2 linked regions of the Oryzias latipes genome follow. The protein of the gene in region 2 binds, or shares a complex with, the protein of the main gene of each other region. Links are inferred from orthologs where the notes say so. Each region holds a gene or a part of one and is shown on either strand. Other genes may lie near its edges.

The links.
Region 1: the proteins of eef1g (region 2) and eef1b2 are in contact, whole or in part, in a crystal structure (PDB 5DQS), measured with the Homo sapiens proteins. The link is inferred for Oryzias latipes from reciprocal best matches to the Homo sapiens genes EEF1G and EEF1B2. Residues at the interface, in NP_001395.1 of Homo sapiens: Leu146, Lys147, Thr148, Arg149, Thr150, Phe151, Glu155, Arg156, Pro185, Asn186, Arg189, Leu192, Thr193, Asn196, Gln197, Pro198; in NP_001032752.1 of Homo sapiens: Ala20, Asp21, Lys22, Ser23, Tyr24, Tyr28, Val29, Cys50, His51, Arg54, Asn57, His58, Ser61, Tyr62, Glu65.

What each region holds. Positions count from the first base shown.
Region 1 is NC_019860.2:25,082,336-25,086,585, forward strand, and holds eef1b2 (elongation factor 1-beta), read right to left. Parts: upstream 2,789-4,250; 5' UTR 2,665-2,788; coding exon 2,585-2,664; intron 1,922-2,584; coding exon 1,799-1,921; intron 1,723-1,798; coding exon 1,593-1,722; intron 1,527-1,592; coding exon 1,460-1,526; intron 1,291-1,459; coding exon 1,165-1,290; intron 989-1,164; coding exon 921-988; intron 856-920; coding exon 769-855; 3' UTR 743-768; downstream 1-742. Other genes in the region: ADP-ribosylation factor-like protein 11, read left to right, coding at 3,676-3,708. UniProt on the Homo sapiens protein: Catalytic subunit of the guanine nucleotide exchange factor (GEF) (eEF1B subcomplex) of the eukaryotic elongation factor 1 complex (eEF1).
Region 2 is NC_019868.2:13,733,694-13,738,091, forward strand, and holds the start of eef1g (elongation factor 1-gamma), read right to left. Parts: upstream 2,930-4,398; 5' UTR 2,853-2,929; coding exon 2,841-2,852; intron 2,086-2,840; coding exon 1,927-2,085; intron 1,840-1,926; coding exon 1,776-1,839; intron 1,474-1,775; coding exon 1,331-1,473; intron 1,220-1,330; coding exon 1,076-1,219; intron 975-1,075; coding exon 845-974; intron 516-844; coding exon 311-515; intron 1-310. Other genes in the region: polr2g (DNA-directed RNA polymerase II subunit RPB7), read right to left, coding at 3,307-3,320. UniProt on the Homo sapiens protein: Probably plays a role in anchoring the complex to other cellular components.

The sequences.
Region 1 (4,250 bases), on a different chromosome or scaffold from region 2:
AGAACCTGAACCTGGGCCGGGCTGACACAGGAAAGTTTGCCTTTGTTCTCCTGAACTTCTGGTCCGGGTTCCGCTGTTGCAGTAAAGCGGAGCTCCCTGACAGATCGGTTGATCTCAGCATCAGAACCACCAAGATCTCAGAACGTTCATCCAGGGTTCAGAGAACCTCCTATGAAACAGCTGGATGGACCTCAGGACAGACCAACGTTCTCTGCTGGAACCAGAAGCGGGTGGTTCTCTCAACACCTGGGCTAACTGGACTGACGTTTGACGGCCACCTTCTGAGTCCTGTTGTGACGTCACTACAGATGTGGCTCGCTCGCAGACAGGTAAGATCTTGCGCGCCAAATGGGTTGAACTCCGCTCACAGGCCCCACCCTCACCTGGACTACGTTCTAGGCGCGTGAACCTTAATACACAAACCCACACGGCGCTTGGATCACGCATTAGTCACATGGTTAGCTTGTATTTAACCGCTAGCCTTTGATCGCTGGTTCCGACTGAACACACCTGTGCGCGTGGAGCGACGTTCGGTCCAGATTGTGGATCGCTTGAGGACCTCTAGCGCGGGTTAATCCTCCTGTTTGGTCCGTGTCGGCGCGCGCTTGTTTAGTTCCGGTCGTCTTCTTCTGCACTCAACTGTTGGAGCTGCACTGCCGCCTACAGGCCGCGGAGGGAACTGCAAGCTTTTTCATGAACAACTGTTATCACATCAGTTCTAATGAGACCAAAGAAAGCAGCCGACAGTTTGATGATTTTATTAACATGTCAGATCTTGTTGAATGCTGCCACGTCCATGGACTGAACGTAATCCTCAAAGGCTGTGATCTGCTCCTCCAGGATGTCCGTTCCCACCTGAAAGGACAGAACGCCGTTAGAACCTGAGGGGGGGGAGCCAGGAGGAACAGGAAGGAACCCACCTTATCGTCTTCCACCACACAGCTGATCTGCAGCTTCTTGATGCCGTAACCCACCGGGACCAGTTTGGCTGCAGAACCAGAAACAAAACTCTTAAGGTTCTGTCGATGCAGCGATTGTGGTCTGAACTAAGGGTTCTGCAGGGTCAGGGTTCTGAGTGTGCATCAGACTTCAGTCGAAAGATGGTGAGTAAATCATCATCTCTGCAGATCCGTGACTCTGATCAACGACCCATCGGTTCCTTACACTGTCCCCACACCAGCCCGTCCATCTGGATGCTGCGCACGCACTCCTCCAGCTTCGCCATGTCCGTCTCGTCGTCCCACGGCTTCACGTCCAACAAGATGGAGGACTTGGCGATGAGGGCGGGTTCTAGCAGAAAGGGAGGCTTCAGTGGGGCAAACAGAGCGCTACGTCTGACCGTAAGCAACGACCGTCAGGTGAAAACAGGTGTCCATCAGGCGCTCAGCCGAAAGATGGTGACTGGATCATCATCATCATCATCAGAGAACTGCTGCAGACTGAGCATGTGCAGACTTACTCTTGGCTTTTTTAGCGGCGTACTCGGCCAGACGCTGCTCCTTCAGCTTAGCGGCCTCCGTGTCCTCCTGCCGGACCACAATCACACAGGTGAGATGGAAGCGATGAAGACCTGGCTAAGACTGCAGCCTCACCTCTTCATCAGAGCCAAACAGGTCAATGTCATCATCATCTTCATCCTTGCTGGCAGCAGGGCCACTGGAGGTGGTGTCCGCTACACCCGTGGGGCCGTACTGACCCAGAGGCTTTTTCACACCTGGAAGACTGAAGGCCGGAGGTCAGCGTTGGAGGTCAGCTTTGGTCTCCGGACCCTCGCCTCGTACCACCACGTCCGCCTCACCTGTTCTTCTGGGCCTGGTAGGACTTGATGTGGTTGTACCACCGCAGGGCGTGGCACAGGTCAGCAGGGGGTGGAGCCGAGACGGCCTCGAACACGGCTACGTCCGCTTGAGAGGGGACATACCTGGAGACAGACCGTTGGTTACCGTGGGTCTAAACACACCTGATCCCCGCACAGGGGCAGGTCCAGACCGCCTGAGACCCGGAGAACATCTACAAGTGGAAGACGGGATCTCCTCCATCCAGCAGACGGGTTTAGGATCCCCACCTCCACAGAACTCCAGACACAGCAGCTCAGGACTGGACCTGGACCGGGTCAGACAAAGCAGCTCAGGACTGGACCTGGACCACAAAAGAACTTTGGTTCTTGGGTGTGGATTTAAGTCTACGGGACCCGCATCAACATGTGTCCAAAAGGTTCGTATCAGGAACCGGGAGGACCAGCTGCAGACCAAAGAAGCAACAAAGTCTGGGTTCTGAAGACCACGGAACCAGTGACAAACTACAAGGTTCTGTGCCCGGGTAACGGTCAGATCACCCACAATGCACCGCGCGCACCATGTAAGAGAACCAGCCATGTGACCCGCGGCACGAGCCAGCAGGAATTCTCCAGAACCCTGGCGGAACCAAAGACTTTGGCTGGCGCGTTTCTGCCGGTCAAAGCACCGAACCGATCCCGGGCCGTCCCGCGTGTTCTCGGTCTTTCTGCGCGGGTGTTTAGCGCCAAATGCTAAGCTAGCAGCTAGCATGGGTAGCCGGGCGGACCCAACATGGCGGCTCCGCTCACCCCTCGATGAAGCTCCGGTCCGTCAGGAAGTCGTTCAGAACTTTGAGCCCAGACGAAGACTTCAGGTCCCCGAACCCCATGACGAAGATGAGCTGCTTCTACCGCGACCAAGAGGAGAAAGAGGAGGGAGGGAGGACGGGAAACGCATTTATGCCGGAGCTCTGACTCCTCCTCAAGACTCCTCCTCCTTGGAGGAGGAAGAGGAGGAGGAGGAGGGGCAAGGTCTGCACCAGAACATACAGGTTCTAACTGTTCTAACTGGTCTCAAAGTTCCACTCCAACCCTCATCCGATGTGTTCTCAAACTCAAAGCGTCTTTAAATCCAAACCCCCTGTGGTTCTCTAGGACCTAGTGTCTGCAGAGCGGCAGGAGTTCATCAGACATTCTCCTCTGAGTTGTGGGCGGGCCGCTGGCGTGGAGCTGAGAGCTCTCTGTTTACATGCTTGCAGGTCTCTCAGCTGGTCCTGGCTGGTTTCGTTCTGTGTTCTGCAGTGGAACCCTGCAGGAACGTGGAGTCCCTCTAAGGCCCCCCCCCCCCCCCCCGGTGGAACAGCTGCTTTGGTGTTTTCAACACGTAGAATTTTCTCCTGATGGAGGACAAATGGAAAGAATACATGAATTTCTGAGGGTTCCTTTATCCAAATGAAGCAGCAGATGAAAAAACGCTGTTTCATATTTGTGATGCTGAACATATCCTGGGCGGGGCCACAAGCTTCATGCCCCGCCCCTTTCTCCCCTGCAGACCAACAGATCCATGAACGTTTTTGTTTTCCTGGAATCTGGATAAGAACCGGCCGGATGGATGGGTGGGATGCTGCTACCATTTTTAATGGTGTTAGATTGGGGCTGTAAGCTAGTGGATCTGGATCAGGTGGAACTGGAGGAACCCGGACATGTCTGAGAACTGATCTGCAGGGAAATCATCTCCTTTGCATTCCATCAGAACGGACAGGTTAGAGTTAAACAAACAACAGTAAAAGCAGTCAGACCTGAATGTCATGTGACCCGCCTGTCCTCATTCCCTGCTCCCATTGGCTTTCAGCATGAATGACCTTTACACACCTGAGTGAGTCGGTTTCATACGAGCAGACATGGGTCAGGCAGGATCGTCTTCCTGTCCTCAGGTGAGTCCATCTTCTGTCCTAAAGCTTCTGCACTGCTCAGGTGTCTTAAGGGAAATGTCCATTTGAGAGGGGCGTGGCCTATGCCATGTTTTCCTGTCATAGACTGTGAAGAGGTACATTACACGGTCTGTAGTTGTTTAGCCTGTGAGGAGGTAGAAATGCTCAGCCCGTCAGTATGTTTATAGAACAGAAGGGGGGTGTCTTGTTGACATCTCCGTCTGCAGACCGGGAGACGTTCTCTGATACCTACTGATAAAGAACAGATGGACGTTCTAGGTGTGGTTCTTCAGTGAGGTTTGTGGCTGAGGTCTTTCAGTTCCACCCAGGAACCCAGTTTGTCCTTCGGGCTTCTTTCATTACACATAGCAGGTTGATGTTGGACCAAGGAGGAACTTAACCTGTGTGGATGCTACAGACCACGTCACACGCACACACACATGCACGCACATATTCACATGCACACACACTGCCCTCTCATGTAAATGAAGTCCAGATCTTCCGGACTAGCAGCAATGCAAATGTGTCCTCTGTAGAGGACTTGT
Region 2 (4,398 bases):
GTCCCATCAATGCAAAATGTGAGGATGTGAAAGTAAAATAAAATCAGAGGTAATCTCAGGTTTAATGCACTGAATGCTTTTGATATACAACATGTGGCCACAGCATGAACCAGCCTTATACCCACTGAAATAGAGATGACTGGGATGAATGTGGTCTTTTCTTTCTTTTCCCCCGTCTGATTAAGACGTAATGCCATGATTGGACACAGTCTTGCCCAATCACAGGGGATAGAGTACTCCAATTACACGTTTGAAACCATCTATAACTACTGGTACAAAGTGATTGAATGCAACACTGGACACTGGGTACCTTTTTGGCAGGTGAGCAAAGGGATCCTTTGCTTTAGGCTCTGCAGCCAAAACAGCATCACAGTCATCCATTTCTTCTTCTGGGTCAGGCTTGCTCTCCTCCTTTTTCTTTTCCTTCTTCTCCTGGGGCTTGGCTGCCTCTTTTCCTCCCTTCTCTTTTTTGGCAGGTGCTTCCTTCTTAGGTTGCATTTCAGCAAACTTCTTTGCTAGAAGAAAAGCACGGCATGGATTATTCTATGAAGAAGATGCTTGAGTCAGATTATTAAAAAAAGTTGGAAAATGAAAAGATATCTTCATGTTATGTTTGGATTAACCAGTGACGAGCATGCACCCTGCATGACCAGATGTTTCTGCTTTATTCAAACTTTAGTAACCATGTTAAAAGTTTAAACAATAAAGCTTTCCGGGGGGAACATAAGAGATGTCAGTTCACCTTTGAAGCCAAATGTTGTGCAATAAAACTTATTGGTATACAAAGGGAAAATAGTTTTTAAATGAATCCAGGGTTCTAACAAGTACATTCTTGTTGACTCACCATCAAACTGTGCCATCTTTTCACACAGCTTGACATCCCCGAGGACGGCCTTGAACTGGGGCTGGTTGACACAGGTGACAAACCAGCGGGTCACGTTAACATAGGGCTGGCGGAAGGAAGGCTCCAAGACCTACAAAAGATAAAACAGGTCAGCTCATTTATGGAAAACACACCAGCTCAAATAATGCTGGAGGTTCCACTTAACACAGTGAAAAGTGTCAAGCTGCATACTTGTTTGTAGAGCCAGAGCAGGGAGCAGGCCACCGTGATGTCCGCAAGGCTGATTCTCTCACCCACAAGGAAAGTGCGAGTGTTCAGGTGTTGGTTCAGGACGGTCAGGATCTTCTTTACATCTTCTTTGGCCTGCTCTGTGGCCTACACACCAAAAAAAAAAAAAAAAAAAATAGTTTAAAACTTAACAGTTAGCCAGTGATTTAGAATCATGTCACAATAACCAAATAATCCAGAAAATAAAGACTTGCATACCTGCTTGTTGAACTGCATAATTCCCAAAGTAGGGAAGACCCATGTGCTTGCTGGAGGGATGATCTCAGAGTCAGCAAAGCTCACCCACTGCAGCACTTGCGCTGCTGCCTGAGGCGTGGCACCGCGCAGGGCATCATTGCTCACTGTAGGCCACAAGCCAGAAAAACAACCGGTTGATCTTTGAAAACCAAAAGCCTCATACAAATTCAAGACAAATGAGTTTCCATGGAATGAACAAAGCAGTTAGTGGATTTATGAAAACACGAAATTTAAACAATTCATAAAACCATACTGCAAAACCCCCAAATTTAGCAACATTTGCTAACAAGGCTTCACTATCGTTTTGCCTCAACTCAATAGAATTGATTTAGAGAATCTGGATAACAATTAAAGCAACCTGTTCTGACCGTTTAGAGAGACTAAGAAGTAAAAAAATGTGACTTACAGTAGTGAGCAATGGCATTACTCTCAAACAGACAGAAGCCGTCATCTCCCTGGTAGGCAGGTACCTAGAACCACAGGATTTGATGCTGTGTGAAACCCAACTAGTTAATGAGGAAAAGAACAAGACTTGAATGTGACTGAGCTGCCCTCACCTTGCCCAACGGGAAGTTATTAATAAAGGCAGGGGTACGGTTCGTCTGTCCGAAGGTGAAGGCAGGGGGGGTGCTGGCGATTTTGATGCGAGCACCACTGTACTGGGCAGCGATCTGGGCTTTGAAGGCCCGCCAGTTCTCCGGGTATGTGTAGATAGTCTGAAATACAGGAAAACTTCTATCAGCTTGTGACTAAATGTATTGAATCCATCTAGTTATGCAATCTCTGTGCACGTTTCTATGATTAAACTGCTTTAATGCAGGTCCAAACCTAATTTAAACTGTATTGTTTCATATGAGAAAAGGTTTAGACTGAGGTAATGTGATAACGATGCCAGCTGTAGCTAATCCTGGCTAATGAATGAGCATATCAGAAACGGAGCACTTTTAAAAAAGATTTTACCAAAAGTAAATACATATGGAATACCAATAGGCTGAAACGCCTCTTAAACTTAAGTGGCATGGTTACATTGTTTTAGAAACAAACTAGAAGTAAGCTAGCTTAGCGCGACTTGTGCTTTTTGTAAGACTAGCAAACCACATCTGATCTGTTCACTTATTTGATTGGTTCGATCAAAAGAATAAAGAGGATCTGGGGATTTTTGTTTTAATCATTCTAAAAAATGCGTCGGTCATAAAGTGGCATGGCCACGGAAAATTTAGGAGCATCATCCCCAGTCTCACGAAATATTGTAACGTGGCACAACCGAGTTAGCCATTAAACAGGCAGGATTGTTAGCGTCTTCTTAAATATAAATGACAAATAAACCCTCTACCAACTAAAAAACAGCAACATGGTCTAATGTGTCTATTAAACGACACAATAACAGAGCAGATGACATAGATACGAGACGGATTGTGACGAAAAGGTTGAAAGAAAACTCCATTGTTGGCCTCCTCTCCATCTTACTCACCCCTGCCGCCATCTTCAGGACGAGAGAAAGAAAGAACGACGGCGCACATCAGTGACGTATTTACGACCGTGACACGTGCCCATCCATTTTGCTGCGCACGTGACTGAGTTTTCAAGTGTTAGAAGATAAATATTGGACACTCCAACAAATACTTTGTCGACGTATGTGATTAAAAAAATGATACAAAGATAAACGAAAAAGTTAAATCTTTTATTACAAAGTACAAAAATGATACAACTAAATTTGAAGGTATGTATTCCACTTAAACCAAATTTATATATATATAAAAACACAAAACTGCAGAATTAATCTCTTGACACCAATTCAACTAACTAAAATAAAGAATGTTAATTTATTGGAAAAAAAACAGCAAGGCTTTGACTAAATCCTACCATAACATGAATATAAATCATGAAGTTATTACTACATAAATTGTCCCAGGTGGTGAGCACTCAGCTGAAAGAAATCAGCTCACGAGACCTTAAAAAAAAGAAAAAGCCAGGGTTAGTTTGATATAGAATCTGTAAACGGCATAATATATATATATATATATATATATATATATATATATATATATATACACACTTCATTATGTGCATTATTCTGTAACCGTGTGGACGGCCTGAGGATGACTAATTTGAACATTGTTTATGACTGACAACATCAGCACAATCTCCACCCGAGTTAGACAACAATTAAAATAATCAATTATAAATCGAACAGTGCTTCTGGTGTTCGACATTTTGACTGAGAAAATGCTTCAGGTTATAGAATTTTTTATTTTTTTTTAATTGTAGATGAACGAGTTGGGCTGGGTGGCAGTTTGGGTTACGCTAAGTTTGCCTTCAAACTTAAGTTAAAATTATATTTTTTATTCAGCAAAGCATTTGTGTTACCAACGTGTGAAAAGTGTTTTAAAAAATAATTTGATTTATGACCTATATCACTTAAGCATGATTATGCATATTCAATGAGTTTTGGTCCGTTTTATTTAACAAGAAGAGCAGCCTCTTTCGTGAAATTTATTTTGAATTCTTCTCTTACATTTGGACAATATTTTATTGCTTATTAATGCCATTTATATGCAATTTACAAACTGAAATCTGACAGATTTACTTTCTGAGTAATACCTTTTCAAATAATAATCACTGTGATTTAAAAATATGAAAATATTATTGACCAAATGTTACCATTAAATCATAATACTGCATTGAAAACTGTACTAAAACAAATGACAATTGTATACTGTGAGGTATCAATTGCGTTGAAAATGTACTGTTTATGGTAAAGAATCACTGAATATTTGGAAGAATTAATAAGTTATCTATTTTGTGAGATAAAGGAAGTTGAAGATCATTTTAAGAAGGTCCTTCATGTAAAACTAAATCCTAAACTTCAGTGTATAAAATGTTGTACGTATGTTTGAATATTAGAATTTCCAAATGCTGGCACTGAATGAATTTGATGACAGTTAAGAAAAATAATACAACACGAATGAAAATAAATTTTAATTTAAAATAGTAACCAAACATATTTTAGATTCTAAAGTATGTGTTCT